Macaca fascicularis: one gene and its partners. The main gene of each other region encodes a partner of the protein of the gene in region 2 in a complex. Links are inferred from orthologs where the notes say so. Each region holds a gene or a part of one and is shown on either strand. Other genes may lie near its edges.

Evidence for each region. Proteins that work in one complex are often made in the same cells at the same time.
Region 1: the proteins of AP3D1 (region 2) and AP3B1 are in contact, whole or in part, in a cryo-EM structure (PDB 9C5C), measured with the Homo sapiens proteins. The link is inferred for Macaca fascicularis from reciprocal best matches to the Homo sapiens genes AP3D1 and AP3B1. Residues at the interface, in NP_003929.4 of Homo sapiens: Lys352, Leu442, Ile446, Ser471, Tyr483, Trp487, Glu491, His517, Ala520, Val521, Gln524, Asn525, Lys528, Val561, Gln562, Ser563, Ala564, Leu566, Glu567, Gln569, Glu570, Arg571, Ser573, Cys574, Gln577, Leu578, His581, Ile582, Leu585, Lys588; in NP_003655.3 of Homo sapiens: Asn75, Lys466, Lys467, Gln470, Val494, Ala497, Ser498, Trp501, Leu531, Leu534, Gln535, Asn538, Lys542, Asn567, Tyr568, Asp569, Asp572, Arg573, Arg575, Phe576, Ile577, Gln579, Leu580, Lys586, Gly588, Ala589, Leu590, Ser591, Tyr593, Lys596.
Region 3: the proteins of AP3D1 (region 2) and AP3M1 are in contact, whole or in part, in a cryo-EM structure (PDB 9C5C), measured with the Homo sapiens proteins. The link is inferred for Macaca fascicularis from reciprocal best matches to the Homo sapiens genes AP3D1 and AP3M1. Residues at the interface, in NP_003929.4 of Homo sapiens: Lys29, Glu388, Gly389, Thr390, Thr391, Arg393, Glu429, Arg432; in NP_001307192.1 of Homo sapiens: Ser25, Ser27, Asp30, Tyr31, Glu34, Pro52, Asp104.

Annotation. Positions count from the first base shown.
Region 1 is NC_088380.1:82,074,015-82,079,810, reverse strand, and holds part of AP3B1 (AP-3 complex subunit beta-1), read left to right. Parts: intron 1-113; coding exon 114-222; intron 223-3,215; coding exon 3,216-3,387; intron 3,388-5,796. UniProt on the Homo sapiens protein: Subunit of non-clathrin- and clathrin-associated adaptor protein complex 3 (AP-3) that plays a role in protein sorting in the late-Golgi/trans-Golgi network (TGN) and/or endosomes.
Region 2 is NC_088393.1:2,748,070-2,753,865, forward strand, and holds part of AP3D1 (AP-3 complex subunit delta-1), read right to left. Parts: intron 5,530-5,796; coding exon 5,340-5,529; intron 4,865-5,339; coding exon 4,776-4,864; intron 4,624-4,775; exon of another isoform or gene 4,599-4,623; coding exon 4,513-4,598; intron 3,850-4,512; coding exon 3,728-3,849; intron 3,431-3,727; coding exon 3,351-3,430; intron 1-3,350. UniProt on the Homo sapiens protein: Part of the AP-3 complex, an adaptor-related complex which is not clathrin-associated. The complex is associated with the Golgi region as well as more peripheral structures.
Region 3 is NC_088383.1:72,309,903-72,315,698, reverse strand, and holds part of AP3M1 (AP-3 complex subunit mu-1), read right to left. Parts: intron 3,503-5,796; coding exon 3,417-3,502; intron 2,747-3,416; coding exon 2,613-2,746; intron 1-2,612. UniProt on the Homo sapiens protein: Part of the AP-3 complex, an adaptor-related complex which is not clathrin-associated. The complex is associated with the Golgi region as well as more peripheral structures.

The sequences.
Region 1 (5,796 bases), on a different chromosome or scaffold from region 2:
TTGAGGCCATAAGCTTGCTTTTGAATTTGGTTATGTTCTTGATGATTAAGTTTGCCAGAACTCTAAATCTCTGAATGAGAATTCATTTATATTTACTTTATTTGTTTAAACAGGCAAAAGAATGGACCCCAGCGGGAAAAGCAAAACAAGAGAATTCTGCTAAGAAGTTTTATTCTGAATCTGAGGAAGAGGAGGACTCTTCTGATAGTAGCAGTGACAGTGGTGGGTTTTATAATTTATTGGCATGTATTTTTACATAGTAGATTACATTCTATATCTCAGAAACAAGGCCTAATCTATAATATTCAGCAGGTGGTTTTAAGTGAAGTTTGTATTATCAAAATAATCCCTTTCATTTATATATCGCTGTTTACTTTTCAAGGTAATTTTTAATTACTAAATTCTCTTTTTACTTTACAATGTCTCTTGGACAATAGCTAATACATTGGTATAGCTGAAACAGGAACTCATACTTTTCTGAATTCTAAACCATAATGCCTATTATATCTATTGGAAAACATGATTTTATACTTGATAAACTTTTAGTGGAGTCTTTAAAAGTAACTTTCTTTTATAAAAATGTAAAGTTTATTTTATACCTTGAAGAGTCTTTTTCTCTTTCATTTTATACTCATCTCTTTCTGTGAACCTCTATAGAGATAAAGCTAAAATTATTAAGTCTCTATATACTATAAAAAAATCAAACTAAAGATTGAGAGTAACTGTATGCAGTGAAAAGAATGCTGAATAGGAAGGATTTAGAAACCCTGGGTTTTACCTATGCAAATTGAAGAAGGCACCTACTTTTCTCTATATCAGATAAATGAAGGGGTAGAGTTAAATATTTCTTAAAGTCCCTTCATTGCTAAAATTCTGTGAGTGATTTGCCTAATGAAAACTATATTGGAGTCACTTTCTGATGCTCTTATTAACACTTAACCTAATAGGCAAGTCTGCCCCAAGACCAAGTGATACCCAACTTTCTCTAAAATCTTATACCTTGGAGAACCAGGGCCTGTCACTCTTACTTGGTTATCTACTACCCAACTCTAAGGTAATTCACTCTCTTTTCTCTGTGTTCCTTATCAAAAATCTTTGTTTTTAATATCTGATAAATTAATCTGTGATACATTACCTTCTGAAGTAATCAACTGAAAAGTAGAGAAATAATTGAGAAAGTAGATATTAAAAAATATGGAATTTCAGGAGTAATGTAGACCTGTGAGAATTATCTGTGTAATTAATCATGTACTTCTTCATTTTGTAGAATTACATATAGATATTTGTCTACATTATATTTATTCACTAGCCCATGCCTATTCATAGGCTGACCATTTTTAATACATACACGAAATATTCCATTAACATTACAGCTTTTCATGAGTTTGTCTGAATACATGTAATAATGAGTCATGTGGCAGGAGTTCTACTGTAGCTGCCAGAGGAAAAAAGAAAACTTTTCTTGCTAGAAGTTATGAGATTGGCTGGGCGTGGTGGCTCATGCCTGTAATCCCAGCACTTTGGGAGGCTGAGACAGGCAGATCACAAGGTCAGGAGATTGAGACCATACTGGCTAACACGGTGAAACCCCGTCTCTACTAAAAATACAAAAAATTAGCTGGGCGTGGTGGCACGTGCCTGTAATCCCAGCTACTCAGGAGACTGAGGCAGGAGAATGGTGTGAACCCAGGAGGCGGAGGTTACAGTGAGCCGTGATCACACCACTACACTCCAGCCTGGGCAACAGAGCAAGACTCCATCTCAAAAAACAAACAAAAATGTTATAAGATTGTGTTTTCCAGGTAGCAAGTATTTTTGAGAATAAACTAATTTTCTCTAAGATTTTACTGACTCGAAAATTTAAATAATGGTGCCTGAAGTCAGCTGGCCCCAGATTCGTGTTGCAGTCCCATGTGATGACATGAGAGAGTAACTTAGATGCTGTAATTTCTTTTCATCGTTTATAGCATAAGCCAGTTATCTGACTTAATATGTATGTGTGTGTAACTTGGATATTGCCACAAATTTAAAATGTCCTTATTTAGTAGCTTTATTTTAGTAAAATAAACTTTCCTGTTTGTAAATGATGATAATGATGAGCACCTTAACCTGTGGCAGACCCTGTTGTGTTCTAATCACCTTTATATGTTTCAAATCATTTAATCTTCAGAACAACTCTGAAAAGTAACTAGTATTATCCCCATTTGCCGAAAAGGAAACCAAGACCCAGAGAAGTTGAATAACTTGATCAGTTTTACAACTGGCAGGTAGCAGAGCCAGGATCTGAATGCGAACACTAACTTGATAACCCATGCTTGTACCCCTTGCAAGCCATCTTGAAAGAATACAGGCACTCCTAGCTTTTCACTGTGATGGACCTTCCTGATGTTGGTGTTATTTAACCATTAGAATGTTTAATTAAAGGTTGTGTTCCTGCCTAAGAGGGCTTCGTTACGTAGATCACAGGCAGGGCAACAGTTTGTCCTTTTGTCTAGGACACAACTCTGTAGTTGTAGTCATTTTAAATAGTAAAAAATACACATATATTTTTCATGTGTTCTCTTCTGCAGAGAGTCCTAGCATACCATAATTTATACATAAAACATTTAAAAGTATAATTCCTCAATGTAACTTGATCATCTCTTTGACCTATGGAAAACTCCTTTACTAGCTCGAATAAGTAATAACTCTTTAATTAGTCATTTGCCTATTGTCTTTGAATTTGGAAGTTTTTCCAGGTGATTTGAATGGCTCATTTTCCTCTCAAAATTTGTTCCTAAGAAGATTAAACTGTTGCCTTCTTTTACTCTAAATAGAATTTCCCATTACAAGCAGAAGAATTTAAAATTATTTCTTTAGCCTTACATCAATCTTTATGTAATTCTTTAAAAGAAAGTTTTTGACAAAGCTATATACTTTGGGGTTTGAAAAGTGAGATTCCCTCAAATTTGGTTTACTTGGTTCATCTTTGCTTAGCTTTTCTCTACTCATTGTCAGAGCATCCTCTCTCTGTCTGCCTCCCTCCAAACTCACCGTGCTAAAGGAATCCATAGAGCTGAAAGAATGGGGTATGGGAATGAAATGTTAAACACGTGGTGTCCACTGAACTAAAATTCAACATCTGGTTTCATTTGAGATGAATATTGACAGTTACAGGTGTCCGTGTGTCTAATTAAATGACTATAAATCTAAGAACATCTGGTTCTGTTTTTCAGAGAGTGAATCTGGAAGTGAAAGTGGAGAGCAAGGCGAAAGTGGGGAGGAAGGAGACAGCAATGAGGACAGCAGTGAGGACTCCTCCAGTGAGCAGGACAGTGAGAGTGGAAGGGAGTCAGGCCTAGAAAACAAAAGAACAGCCAAGAGGAACTCAAAAGCCAAAGGAAAAAGGTAATGTATTTTGTCAGAATTTCCTTCAAAAAATATTCTGTGAAAGTTTGCCCCAGGCAGATGTTTCTTGTTAATCAAAAAATGATGAGAGAAAAGAAGTGTGTATTTTTTCCCAAACAGATATTAAATCTTTTTAAAATTAAAGTGCTAGTTCACATTATTTTCCTACTTGTAATGCTTAGCTTTCATTTTGAACTTGAACATATCTTGGGGTTACATTTTGAAAATTGGTATAACCTTGGAAGGCTGAGTTAAGTGATCAAGCAATAGGTATGAAACACTTAATTACCTTTTGTAGCAATTTTGCTGAGGGCTAAAATTAAATCCTTCAACACTTTGCCATTATGTAACCAAGACAATTGATTTTTCTAAATAATGTTATATTAAAAAGATTATGATCCAAATATTAGAGTCAAGGGCTGTGAAGGAAGACGGTCATAAGAGCTTTAAGTGTTAGCACTTTTTAAGATCTCCCATTATCAACAACATTATCATGTATTAAAGTGTCATTAAAATTTTGAGTAATTGGGGCTAATATCTTGGATTGTGCAACTCTGTTTTCCCCACTGCTGTCAGTGAGTGGCCTCTGCCGACATGATGGTCCTTTCCCCAGGAGCCTGCTGCCCGCTCACTTGATGAGCTTGCAGCTCGGCTCAGTCGTGGCTGACAGCACTGATTGGGGCGCAGTACGCTCTCTGCTCCTTTTATTACAGACAGTAATTAAAGCAGCTCGCCCTGCCACTTCCATAACAAACACAGCATAATGCCCTAATTATGACTTTATTAATTTAAGTCAGGATTTAATGATTTTAAAAGTGATTTATATTGTTTTTCCTGTTCAGAACAAATGAAATCTGTAGGTTAAATTAATACAGGCTTTTCATCATTGCAAAGTTAGAAACCTAGTTACCAGTAAATTCTTTTCATTAGATTAACATCTGAAACTCTAAGCAGTAAGGTAAACAATAATTACCATCAAAATTGAGTGATGCATAATAAAATAACACTTTTACTTTTAAAATCTTATCTTAAAAGCTGGAAGTTAAATATATTTAGAATCATTCACTTGTTGCAGCAAAGGAGCTACTTGGTTTATAATAGCCTTGTCTTTGAGAGAAATCCTGTACTTCTGGTTTAATATCAGAATATCTATGATGATATGAGTTATAAAACATGTCTTGTTTCTAGAAAGGGAAAGTTTTGTTCAGTGCATGAAATGTCCTTTCAGATGGCAGAAGTCAGTATACTAGAAATTTGTAGTCATGTATTAGTTTTATTATTCCTTTCTTCAGAAATAGATTTTTCTCTTTACCCACATTTGAATTTAAAAGAATTGTTTATTACAAAGAGAACCACAAATACATTCTAAACCTTATATTTTTAAGTACACATTTTAACCAGTGAATTGGGGATAATAAATTGCCGTTTTTTTGCCAGGGAAAAACAACAACATATTTTTCAGTCTTCAAATATAATTACATGTGCTCTGAGATGTTGCCATGGCTCCATTTTTAATAAACAGCAATCATATTTCCTCTACAAAAATCAATTCTAGGAAATATCGATTCTTTCCTTGCCTCACTCCTCTCCCTCCCCCAGTATTTTTCTGCCTCTTAGAATGTTTTTTTAACTTTGCTAGTATGATAATTTTTTAAAGCTCTTAATAAGCTTTAAGCATCTTCAAAAACCACCCTTTAGTAATCATAAATATTTATGACCGAATTTAAATTTTACACTCCAAAGTGTTTTCATTTGAAGGGAGATAGTATGACATAGTGGAAAAAATACGGACTTTGGAGTGAGACAGGCTTGAGTTCAGATTCTAGTTCTGCCCCTCTTGTTATGTGTCCCTGAGCAAGTTATTTAACCTTTCTGAATATTAATTTCATTATTGTAAATGGGATAATAATGTACCCAGGAAGAGTGCATTTAAATTAGGTAATCAGTATGATTGGTATGAAATGCCTAGCCCTTTCTGGCCCACAGTAGATTCTTAAAAATATACACACACATGTTGTAGAGAGAACTAGACTTTTAGTTTCCAGGAAAATATAAAACACCACAAGGCATCTCTCATCCCCTGAGATAAGGGTGTTTGGTCATCTCACATGTTATTCCTTCTCCTTGGAGAGCTGCTTCCCTGCCCATCTGCCAGCCTTACTCCTATATCTTGGCTTATATGTCTCTTTCTCCAGGAAGCATTCCTAATTGGATTAAGTTTGTTTAGGTGTCTCTCCAAATGTTCTCCTGACACACTATAATTTATTACTTACTATACTGTATTATCACTGCCACCTTATCTATATCCTCCAGTGGACTGTAGACTCTGTAGGGTAGACACACATAGATCCTCTTAACCATTGTTATCCTTAGCACCTAACATAATGCCAACATGTAGTCAAAAATTAA
Region 2 (5,796 bases):
CAACACCAAGGCCACCGGCACACCAAGGCGGATGGATACTAGGACTCTCTGACACAAGTTTTCTTTTTCTCTTTTTTGGAGTCTCACTCTGTTGCCCAGGCTAGAGTGCAGTGGCACAATCAGGGCTCACCACAGCCTTGAACTCCTGGGCTCAAGAGATCCTCCCACCCCAGCCTCCCGAGTAGCAGGGACTAGAGGCTTGCTGTACTAATTTCTTAGTACTGGCTAATTTTTAAATTTTTTGTAGTCCTGGGGTCTTGCCACGTTCTCAGGCTGGTCTCGACCTCCAGGGCTCAAGCAATCCTCCTGCCTCAGCCTCCCGAGTAGCAGGGACCACAGTCACATGCCACCATGCCCAGCTGGCCTAAGCTTTAAAGTAGCTCTTAGAAAACACTCCAACAGATCACCAGGGCATCAGCAAAGACATGGAAGATACAAGAAGAGCCCAGTGGGAATTTCAGACCCGAAAAACAGACCCTCCCTGTGTGGGCTCAACAGCAGAACAGCCAGGACAAGGCAGAGTGGTGAGCTTGGCAGGAGAGCAACAACCATGAACCCATCTGAACACAGCCTCGGGTCATGAAGGGCAGCAGCCCAGGCTGGGGAGGAAGAGCGCAACACCCAAAAAGCAGCAAAACAAATCAGCTCCCAGACGCCTCACGCCCATCAGAATGGCTGCTGTCAGCCGGGCGCAGTGGCTCATGCCTCTAATACCAGCACTTTGGGAGGCTGAGGCAGGCGGATCAGGAGTTCGAGACTAGCCTGACTAACATGGTGAAACCCCGGAAACCCTGTGTCTACTAAAAATACAAAAAAATTAGCCAGGCGAGGTGGTGCGTGCCTGTAATCCCAGCTACTTGGGAGGCTGAGACAGGAGAATCGCTTGAACCCGGGAGGAGCTTGCAGTGAGCTGAGATCGCGCCACTGCACTCCAGCCTGGGTGACAGAGCAAGACTCTATCTCAAAGGAAAAAAAAAGAATGGCTGCTGTCAGCATAACAATGACAGGTGAAGAAATGGGGCCTCCTGCCTGGCGGCAGATGGGATACACGGTGCAGCGCTGGGGAAGACAGTCTGGCAGCTCCTCAAAACCTCAAAACCTCAAACATGGAATCACCACAGGACCCAGCAATCACACTCCTGGGTGTATATTCAAAACAAATGGGCTCACTCCTGCAATGCCAGCACTTTGGGAGGCCGAGGCAGGCGGATCACCTGAGGTTAGGAGTTCCAGACCAGCCTGGCCAACCTGGCAAAACCCCGTCTCCACTAAAAATACAAAAATTAGTCAGGCAAGGTGACGCACACCTGTAATCCCAGCTATTCAGGAGGCTGAGGCAGGAGAATCGCGTGAACCCGGGAGGCGGAGGTTGTGGTGAGCCCTTGGCTCCACTGCACCCCAGCTTGGCCAACAGAGTAAGACTCTATTTCCAAAACAAATACAAAAACAAAAACTAAAACACAAAAACAAAAGTACTGAAGGCAGGGACTCAAACAGTTATTTGTTTAACAACAATGTTGACAGCAGCACAATTCACAACAGCCAGAAGGTGGGAGCAGCAATGGATGAGGGGACACACAGCACGGTCCACCCGCACAAGAGAATACGATTCTGCCCTGAAAACGAAGGGAATCCTGACAGGCTGCGATGTGGATGCACCTTGAGGACATGAGGTGGAATAAGAGTAGCCAGACACAGAAGGACACATCCCGTGTGGTTCCACTCCTAGGCGGTCCCTAGAGTCATCAGATTCACCAAGACACAAAGTAGGATACGGGGTGCCAGGGGCTGGGGAGGTGACGGGGAGTGAGTGTTTCATGGAAGGCCGTGAACCAGGAGAAAACTGGAACGTTAGGAATGAAAAGAACATCAATGGCAGGTCGGATGCAGTGGCTCACGCCTGTAATCCCAGCACTTTGGGAGGCCGAGGCAGGTGGATCATGAGGTCAGGAGATGGAGACCATCCTGGCTAACATGGTGAAACCCTGTCTCTACTAAAAATACAAAAAACTAGCCGGGCGTGGTGGCGGCGCCTGTGGTCCCAGCTACTTGGGAGGCTGAGGCAGGAGAATGGCGTGAACCCGGGTGGTGGAGCTTGCAGTGAGCCGAGATCGCGCCCCTGCACTCCAGCCTGGGCGACAGAGCAAGACTCCGTCTCAAATAAATAAATAAATAAATAAAAGTATGTATGCACGATCCCTGGACACCCACACATAAAAATACAAAGCAAGGGTATCAAAACCACAACAGACCTCTAGGAACTGAGGAATGCTGAGTAATGAACATGAGGAAGAAGGCGGAGAAGCGAAAGAAACACGTGCAAACTGGAAATCCTCAGTATGCTCCCAAAGGGCACTGGAACCAAACCAGACATCAAAAAAAATTGGTTCTTTGAAAAGTGCAATAAAATGGACAAACCTCTACCCAGGAGAACCAGGAAAAAAGAGACACAAACCGTGACCATCAGAACAGAAAGTGACCCAGGATCATCACAAAGAGCAGTGAAAAGAAACGGAGCAGCAAGACCGCGGCGCGCACCGCTCCGCACATCAGCTCAGTGACCCTGATGATTCCTTACGCTTGTTCTCTGAAAAGTACAAACTACCAAACTCACCCAAGATGAGCGATAACTTGGGGATTCCTATAACTGTTAACACAAAAAACTGCGGTTGTAGCTAAAAGCCTGCAGAAAAGGAACTCCCCAGGCCCAATGGTTTTCTGATGAATTCTGTACACACATTTCTTTCGAAGGAAAAAATGCCACTCATCACACAGTCTGTCCCAAAACAGAGAGGACACACTCTCCTGCGTGTCTGATGAGGTCACTGGATGACAAAACCAAAGGCGGTACCAGAAAAGAAAACTAAAGACCCAACTCCTCATATACACACACGAAAGCCCTCAACAAAACAGTCACACACTGAGTTTGGCAGTCGACACACTGCGAAGACAACCACCCTGCAATACTCAGGAGAGGGAGGCCTGGAGCGGAGCGGGCGAGGAGTCATTCTGGAAGCTCAGCAGTGAGAGGTGGAGAGTCCGACCCCAGGACCTTGGCTGCCTTGTGCACAGGGGTGGGGTGGGGGGCAGGAGTGCAGTGGGAGTGGGGGCCCCCGGAGCCATGTGTCAGCCTGGGGTGAGCAGCACAGCAGGAGGCGGAAGCCCCGTCTTGCTGAGGGAAAGTCTGCGCTACTGAGTGGGGCTGGCACAGGTGAGGGGCTCACGGCTGTGGTGCTGCCATCACTGTCCTTGAGCCCTCAAAGTCCCAAGGCTCACCCCTGGGGATGAAGGCCTGGGCATGGCCCCAGGAGAGGTGGGAGCCAGGGTGTGTGCCGTGACCTAAGGCTCACCTTTTTCACCAGGAGGCAGACGTGGTGGCCCTGGATGGAGCGGCTGTACATGGAGGCGCAGGAGTCCACTCGCTCCACAACTGCAACAGAGCGGGCGGCGTCAGGCCCCCGCACACCGCATGGTTGCAGCCCCACCCCCAGAGCAGGGGCCACCTTCCTGGGCTGCCCTTGGCCACAGCTTCAGGTCTGCAGGAGCAGGGTGTGGCCCTGGGAAGCCTGGGGTGTGGGGAATGCAGCCCCCGCACCAGCTTCCAGGCCTCGGGGCCACCAGTTACCCGGGATCCCAAAGGGTGGGAGTTTGGGTGCGAGGGCCACAGACCCGGCTCCAAAAGGAAGGGACAGCCGCCGCGCGTGTGAAAGCCCCTCACTCTCCTTACCAGAAAAATGGTGGTGAAAACAGATCTTTGCCAGAAGGTTCTGGAAGGACATCCGAATGCCATCGACTTTGACTGAGCTCATGCTCAAGTCCCCAGACTCCAGCAACTTGGCAAAGGTGTCACTGTGGGAGGGACAGGGAGGCTGACTCCGGTGGGGCCGGGTTCCTCAGGCTCCCTGGCACAGAAGCCGACAAAACCTGCCACACATGCCACCTCCTGCCTGTCTGGGCCGGGAGGTCTCGGGGGTCCTGGAAGATGTGGCTTATTTTCATGTGTGGAAGCCCTCACACCCAGAAACTGATAATGACTTGTCTTTAAAGAGGTCACAGAGGTGCCTGAAGTCATGGGGTGGGCCCTCCTCTGACAAGGACGGATGTCCTGTAGGAAAGGACTAGCGGGACAGGCTAGGACGCAGGCACACAGAGGACAGCCTGCAACGACTCGGGGGGCAGGCAGTGCCGCACGCCAAGCCGTGCTGAGGAGAGGCCTCAGGAGCAGCCCGTGCTGCTGGCTCCCTGATCTCACTCCTCCAGCCTCCAGGACTGCCAGGAGCCAGAGCCTCTCTGGGTGACGCTGCCAGGCCTGTGGCTTCAACTACGCGGCCCCAGCTGGTGCAGACACCAGGCAGCCTGACCTGCACCAGCCACGAGCCAGGCCTCCAAATCTGTCTCTAAAGTCCTGCCCAGAAGCCTCAGTCTCCAGGGCACAGGTGTCTGTAAGGTCGAGGGAGGCGGAGGGGTGCGGGAGGCGGAGGGGTGCAGGAGGTGGGCGTGGCCGGGCCCCACCTGTAGCAGGGTGTGGTGGTCAGGTAGGAGCTGCAGCTGAAGTGCAGCCGGAAGTCCAGCTTCTCGTGGGTTGCGCCCTCGTCATTCTGCAGTGGAGGGAAGGTGGTGCAGCTGAGTGGGGAGTGAGGCCCAGGTCAGAGCTCCGGGCTCCCCAGGCAGGTGGCCCACTTCCCCTAGGGACACCTGGACACCCACTGGAATGAGGCAGGAGGAGCCCCAGCCTGCAGAGTCGGCTCCCTGACGCCGAGTGGAGCCCCGCATACCTTGGCAATGAAGGACAGGGTTCCCTTGAGCTTCTGCGCCATGACGATGCTCTGGATGGTGAACACATACTGGGCTTCGTTGGAGACGCCTGGCGGGGAAGAGGGGGAGTGGGGCCTGAGACGCAGCTGGGGCTCAGCATGGGCGGGGCCCCCGGGTCTGTCCTTAGCCCCAACTCCTCGATGGCTGATTAGGAATCTGAGCTCAGCCCCCAAGGGAGCACCAGGGGACAGGAGCAGAAACAAGAGGCTAGTGGAGTCCCCAGTTTGGCCTGGACCTGGTCCCATCCCTGTTTCAGAGGACAGACTCGGCCACTGGAGCCGTGGAACCCAGGAAGGCCCCAGCCCCCAGCCCAGCCCTTGGGGCTCTAGCCAGGTCTATCCGAGGCCATCACACTTCTCAGAGAGCTGCAGTGAGACCCCGACACTGAGGAGGCACTGAGGTGCAGCCTGGGGACCAAGGGAACGTGAGGAGGAAGCAACAAGAACCAGTGGATCCGGGCAGCCACCAGCTGCCACCGTGCTCCCACAATCCCCAGGAGAGGCCGTGAGTGGGGCAGGGCTCACCCGGGGGCAGCTGGAAAGGCACGGGGACACCATCATGGACGGAGGAGCCCTGCGGCCGGGCCATCCTGGCATTGAGTGAGTCCAGCACGCTGAGCTCCATGCCCTTGAGGATGCTGCTGCTCCGGTTCTCCAGCACGATGGCCACGGTGACCTGACTGTCCTCCTGCAGACTGCCCCGGATGTCACAGGTCTGCAGGGCATGGCCAATGTAAGCAGGGCAGGCACAGCTGCCTGTCTCTCAGTGACCACAGAGGCAGCACGGGTCCCACGGGCACAGGCAGGCACGGGGGGAGGCGACCCCCAGCTGCGGCCAGGCGCCTCCTGTGGCTGCTCTTTGAGTGCATGGCGGGGGCCTCCTGCCAGCTCAGGGCATGTCTCTAACCTTACCCAAGCCAGAGGCGCTGCCCAAGCAATGCCCTGCCAGGGATCACAGGCCCTGGGTACACCAACATCTGGG
Region 3 (5,796 bases), on a different chromosome or scaffold from region 2:
GCTACAGAGTTGGCTCTCTGTAGCCACAGTTATGCATCCTTGAATTTGACCAGTTGAGGACTGAAAATATTATTTAACACTATCGGCCAGGCGTGGTGGCTCATGCCTGTAATCCCGGCACTTTGGGAGGCCGAGACCGGCGGTGGGAGGGGATCACCTGAGGTCAGGAGTTTGAGACCAGCCTGGCCAACATAGTGAAACCTCATCTCTACAAAAATACAAAAATTAGCTGAGGCTGGGTGTGGTGGCTCACACTTGTAATCCCAGTACTTTGGGAGGCTGAGGTGAGGAGTTCAAGACCAGCCTGGCCAACATGGTGAAACCTCGTCTCTACTAAAAATACAAAAATTAGCTGGGTGTGGTGGCTTGTGCCTGTAGTCCCAGCTACTCAGAAGGCTGAGGCAGGAGAATTACTTGAACCTGGGAAGTGGAGATTGCAGTGAGCTGAGATTGCGCCTCTGCACTCCAGCCTGGGCAACGGAGCGAGATTCCATCTCAAAAAAAAAAAAGAAAAAAAAAAAAATAACAATACAACTACAAAATATAATAAAAATAAAAAGTCAACCTGGTATAACAATTATTTACACAGTGTTTACAGTGTACTATCACAAGTAACTTGGAGATGATTTTAAGTACCCAGGAGGATGTGCATAGGTTATATGCAAATACTACACCATTTTATATAAGGGACTTGAGCATCTGCTGATTTTTGCAACCAATCCTCCAAGGATACCAAGATGGCGGTACCTCCAGAACTGCAGATTCAGCATCTACACAAGGGGGAGCTGAGTATAGCATAATGTTCTGGTACCACTGTGCTGGGAACTGTATACAAATCAAGACAGAAATCTGAAGTTTAATAACAGTATAAACAATTGGGGGTGGCTGGGTGCAGTGGCTCATGCCTGTAATCCTGGCACTTTGGGAGGCCAAGGCAGGCAGATCACTGGAGGTCAGGAGTTTGAGATCAGCCTGGCCAACATGGTGAAACCCCCTCTCTACTAAAAAAAGTAACAAGAAACAAAAATTAGCTGGGCGCGGTGGCGGGCGCCTGTAATCCCAGCTACTTGGGAGGCTGAGGCAGAAGAATCACTTGAACCCAGGAGGTAGAGGTTGCCATAAGCCAAGATCACAGAATTGTACTCCAGCCTGGGCGACAACAGTGAAACTCCGTCTCAAAACAAACAAACAAAAAAACCAAAAAAACATAAAACAAACAAACAAAAAAAAAACAATTGGGGCAAATGGCCCTAGTTTAAAAAAATGAATTACGATCCCACTGAAAAATAATGTAAAATATGTTTTATATAAATGAAAACAGTTCCTATGTGATGAGTCAAGAAACAGGCTGGGTGCGGTGGCTCACGCCTGTAATCCCAGGACTTTGGGAGGCTGAGGTGGGCGGATCACCCAAGGTCGGGAGTTCGAGACCAGCCTGACCAACATGGAGAAACCCTGTCTCTACTAAAAACACAAAATTAGCCGGGCGTGGTGGTACATGCATGTAATCCCAGCTACTTGGGAGGCTGAGGCAGAGAATCACTTGAACCCTAGAGGTGGAGGTTGAGGTAAGCCAAAATTTCACCACTGCACTCCAGTCTGAGCAACAAGAGCCGAACTCCGGTTCAAAGAAAAAAAGAGCCAAGAAATAATTTGTCTGCTTTTGAGTCCTGTCATAATGTTACTCAAATAACTTCTGGTATTTTCAAGAAACAAACTAGCTATAAAACTACGATCCCCAATGCTAAATTTTTTTTTATTTTTTTGAGATGCAATTTCACCCTCTTGGCCAGGCTGGAGTGCAGTGGCATGATCTGTCACTGCAACCTCTGCCTTCCAGGTTCAAGTGATTCTCATGCCTCAGCCTCCCAAGTAGTTGAGATTATAGGCACACGCTATCACGCCTGGCTAATTTTGTATTTTTAGTAGAGACAAGGTTTCACCACGTTGACCAGACTGGTCTAGAACTCCTGACCTCAAGTGATCTGCCCACACTGGCCTCCCAAAGTGTTGGGATTACAGGAGTGAACCACTGCACCCGGCTCTCAATGCTAAACAGTTCCTTAAAACCTCGAAGCAGAGAAGACTGACTTGAAGCAGGTAAGTTTGGGAATGTCCTCACGAACTACAGGTAGGTCTGTCTCCTTGTTAGCCACAAAGTCTACAGACTATGGTAAGATTATGGCAGTGGTTCATGGTTTTGCCCAGGTTATGCACAGTCCATTTTGCTCTGCTTGCAAAGTACTCAGCTGTCAGAAGCAGAGCAAAATGGACCGTGCATAACCTGAGCAAAGAACCAGCGCCATAATTTGACAATGCGTAACCTTGCAAAGAACCAGTACCAAAACCTTTTGCCCAGGTTATGCATGGTTTGCTTGCCCTTGGCTATAGATTTTACTCTAGTCTCACTTAGTACCACTCTACACTCATACATTCAAAGTATACTGATATTTTAGGTGCGTATTTTCACCAGTTCTCACTGGGTCTCCCGGTGAGCTATGGTTAAAGTGAGCAATGACGACCTCAAGTACTCAACTGTCATAAAGGAACAGGGAAAGGTGAGTTCTGCTTGATATGTATGATGGCAGATTCTGGCTGATGCATCAACATACTTTTGTGAGCTGACACGGTATGATATGAGTCGGAAATTTCCATCTGGAGGAATAAATGACAAAACTCTTTCAGATTCCCAACGCTTGAACCGGATGCAGGGGTGGAAGCTGACGTCATCCAGAAGCCTAGGGTTCTGTCAAGAAAACAGAAGACAGCCGTGTTCATAGAGCATAATGAATATGGGAACTGTACTTAGATACCTTGACAAATCAATATGTTCCCTGAAGATAAAGCAGTCATGGAAGAGTTTATGACCACATCTACACAACCTTATAGTTTCACAATGCTTTAAAGTTTGTAAATATTTTATGTACATTATTTTATTGAATTTCAATAACCATAAAGGAGAAAAGGCAAGTAGTATTATTTCCCTTTAACAGATTAAAAAACTGAGGTTCAGAGGACTTAAGGTCAGAACAAACTGGTGACAACACCAGAAGTCAGTTCTCTTAATTGTTCCTAGCAGTATGTCATGCTGACTCTAAAATGATACAAAAGACCAATGTCCTTTCATATCAGCAAAGCAAATAATTACTCAGTAAAAATGATACTGGATATTTGCAGAAGCCAGCCAGCCAATTTTAAGCCCTTTCTAGCACACTCAGGCAAAGACCTCCCTTAGCCTTTCCATAAAGACCACGCTCATCATGTAAGTGCCTGTCTTAGGAAACTCTGCTAGGAATATTTCTGAGACAATCCTTTGCAATCTAAGATGCAAACTTATCTCAATATTTATCATTTCATTTAGTACTTCACATGTATTAGGCATTCAAGGGGCTATAAAACAGGAGAATAAAACTTACCATGAAAGAAAGGGAGAGATCGGGCATTCCAGATAGTTTAATGCAAGCATCAATGACCCCCTGAATTTCTGCAAAGACTGTAGATCCTGAAGAAAGAAAGAAAAAGGAAGATAACATCAACGGAATATGAGTCTTAACTAGAGCTATCACTATATCTTTTTATTTTTATTTATTTATTGTTTTTAGAGACAGAGTCTTGCTCTGTTGCCAAGGTTGGAGTGCAGTGGCACGATCACAGCTCACTGCAGCCTCACTCCTGGGCTCAAGTAATCCTCCCGCCCTAGCCTCCCGAATAGCTGGGAATATAGGCGCGTGCCATGACACCTAGCCCAACAATCACTATATTTAGAATAATGGAGATACCCTCTGGGTGTCAGACTTACTGAAGCTTTACATCTCTATTAACAGGTCAGGGAACAAGGTCCATACCTAACTCTGGTTGGAATATGATAATTTTTCTTTTTTTTTAAGAGATGAGGTCTTACTAGCTAGTCCCAGCTGGCCCCCACAGTAACTGGGACTACAGGTATGCCACTGTAGAATATAATTTTTTTTTTTTTTTTTGAGACAGGGTCTTTCTCTGTCACCCAGGTTGGAGTGTAGTAGTGCTATCACGGCTCACTGCAGCCTCAACCTCCTGGGCTCAAGCAATCCTCCCACCTCAGCCTCCCAAGCAGCTGGTACTACAGGCATGCACCTCCATGCCTGGCTAATTTTTGTATTTTTTTGTAGAGACAGGGTCTTGTTACATTGCCCAGGTTGGTCTCGAACTCCTGGGCTCAAGCAATCTGCCTACCTCAGCCTCCCAAAGTGCTGGGATTACAGGTGCGAACTACCATACCCAGCCAGAATATGCTAATTCTAAGGAAAATTAAACTGTCTCCTTTATGGAGCCAACCCTGTAAGATGACTGGATATGAGTTTAAAACATATGAGGCCAGGCACAGTGGCTCATGCCTGTAATCCCAGCGTTTAGGGAAGCCGAAGTGGGTAGATTATCTGAGCTCAGGAGTTTGGGACCAGCCTGGGTAACATGGCGAAACCCCGTCTCTACTAAAAATACAAAAAATTAGCCAGGCGTGGTGGTGTGTGCTTGTAGTCCCAGCTACTTGAGAGGCTGAGGCAGGAGAATTGCTTGAACCCAGAAGGCGGAGGTTGCAGTGAGCCGAGACCGCAACACTGTACTACAGCCTGGGCGACAATGTGAGACTCTGTCTCAAAAACAAAATAAAACAAACCAAAAACATTTTCAATAGAATTTTAAAATGAGGCAAGGGTATTATGAAATGGACTAAGTCAACTTTTAAGAAATAGGATCCATAATAGAAAGATCTCTCTTTCTTTTAGAGACAGGGTCTCCCTCTGCCATCCAGGCTGGAGTACAGTGGTGTGAACATAGCTCACTACAGCATTGAACTCCTGGGCTCGAGCAATTCTCCTGCCTCAGCCTCCTGAATAGGTGGGATTAAGGAACCCATGCCTAGCTAATCTTTTAAATTTTTGATAGATACGGAGTCTCGCTATGTTGCCTAGGCTGCTCTTCAACTCCTGGGCTCAAGTGATCTTACTGCCTAAGCCTCCCAAAGTGCTGGGATTACAGGTGTGAGCCACCGTGCCTGGCAAAAATCTGTTATTCTATAAGATGGAATGTTATAATGAAAAGGGCACTCATGGAAGAGAAGATATTGACTATAATTCACAATAAACCATCACTACATGTTAACAAGTTGTGTGACTTGGAACAGTTCACTTAACCCTTCTGGGCTTTCCTTATGTATAAAATAAATGCAAGGGAAGGACTAATTTTTTTTTTTTTTTGAGATGGAGTCTCGCTCTGTCACCCAGGCTAGAGTGCAGTGGTGCAGTCTTGGCTCACTGCAACCTCTGCCTCCTGGGGTCAAGCAATTCTCCTGCCTCGGCCTCCCGAGTAGCTGGGATTACAGGCGCCTGCCACCATGCCCAGTTAATTTTAGTATTTATAGTAGAGACGAGGTTTTACCATGTTGGCCAGGCTGTTCTTGAACTCCTGACCTCAAGTGATCTGCCTGCCATGGCCTCCCAAAGCGCTGGAACTACAGGAGTGATCCACCATGTCCGGCTGCTATTTTTAATAATAAAATTTTATGATTCTTATAGAGTACCATTGTTTTGTCTGGTTAAAAAGATAATTAGATTGGGTGTGGTGGCTGATGCCTGTAATCTCAGCACTTTGGGAGATTGAGGTAGGTAAACTGCTCGAGCCCAGGAGTTCAAGACCAGCCTGGGCAACATGGTGAGACTCTGTCTGTACAAAAAATAAAAATAAAAGCTAGCCAGGCATGGTGGCATGTGGTGTGTACCTCCTGATTGGCTGGGACTATAGGCTACTCAGGAGTCTGAG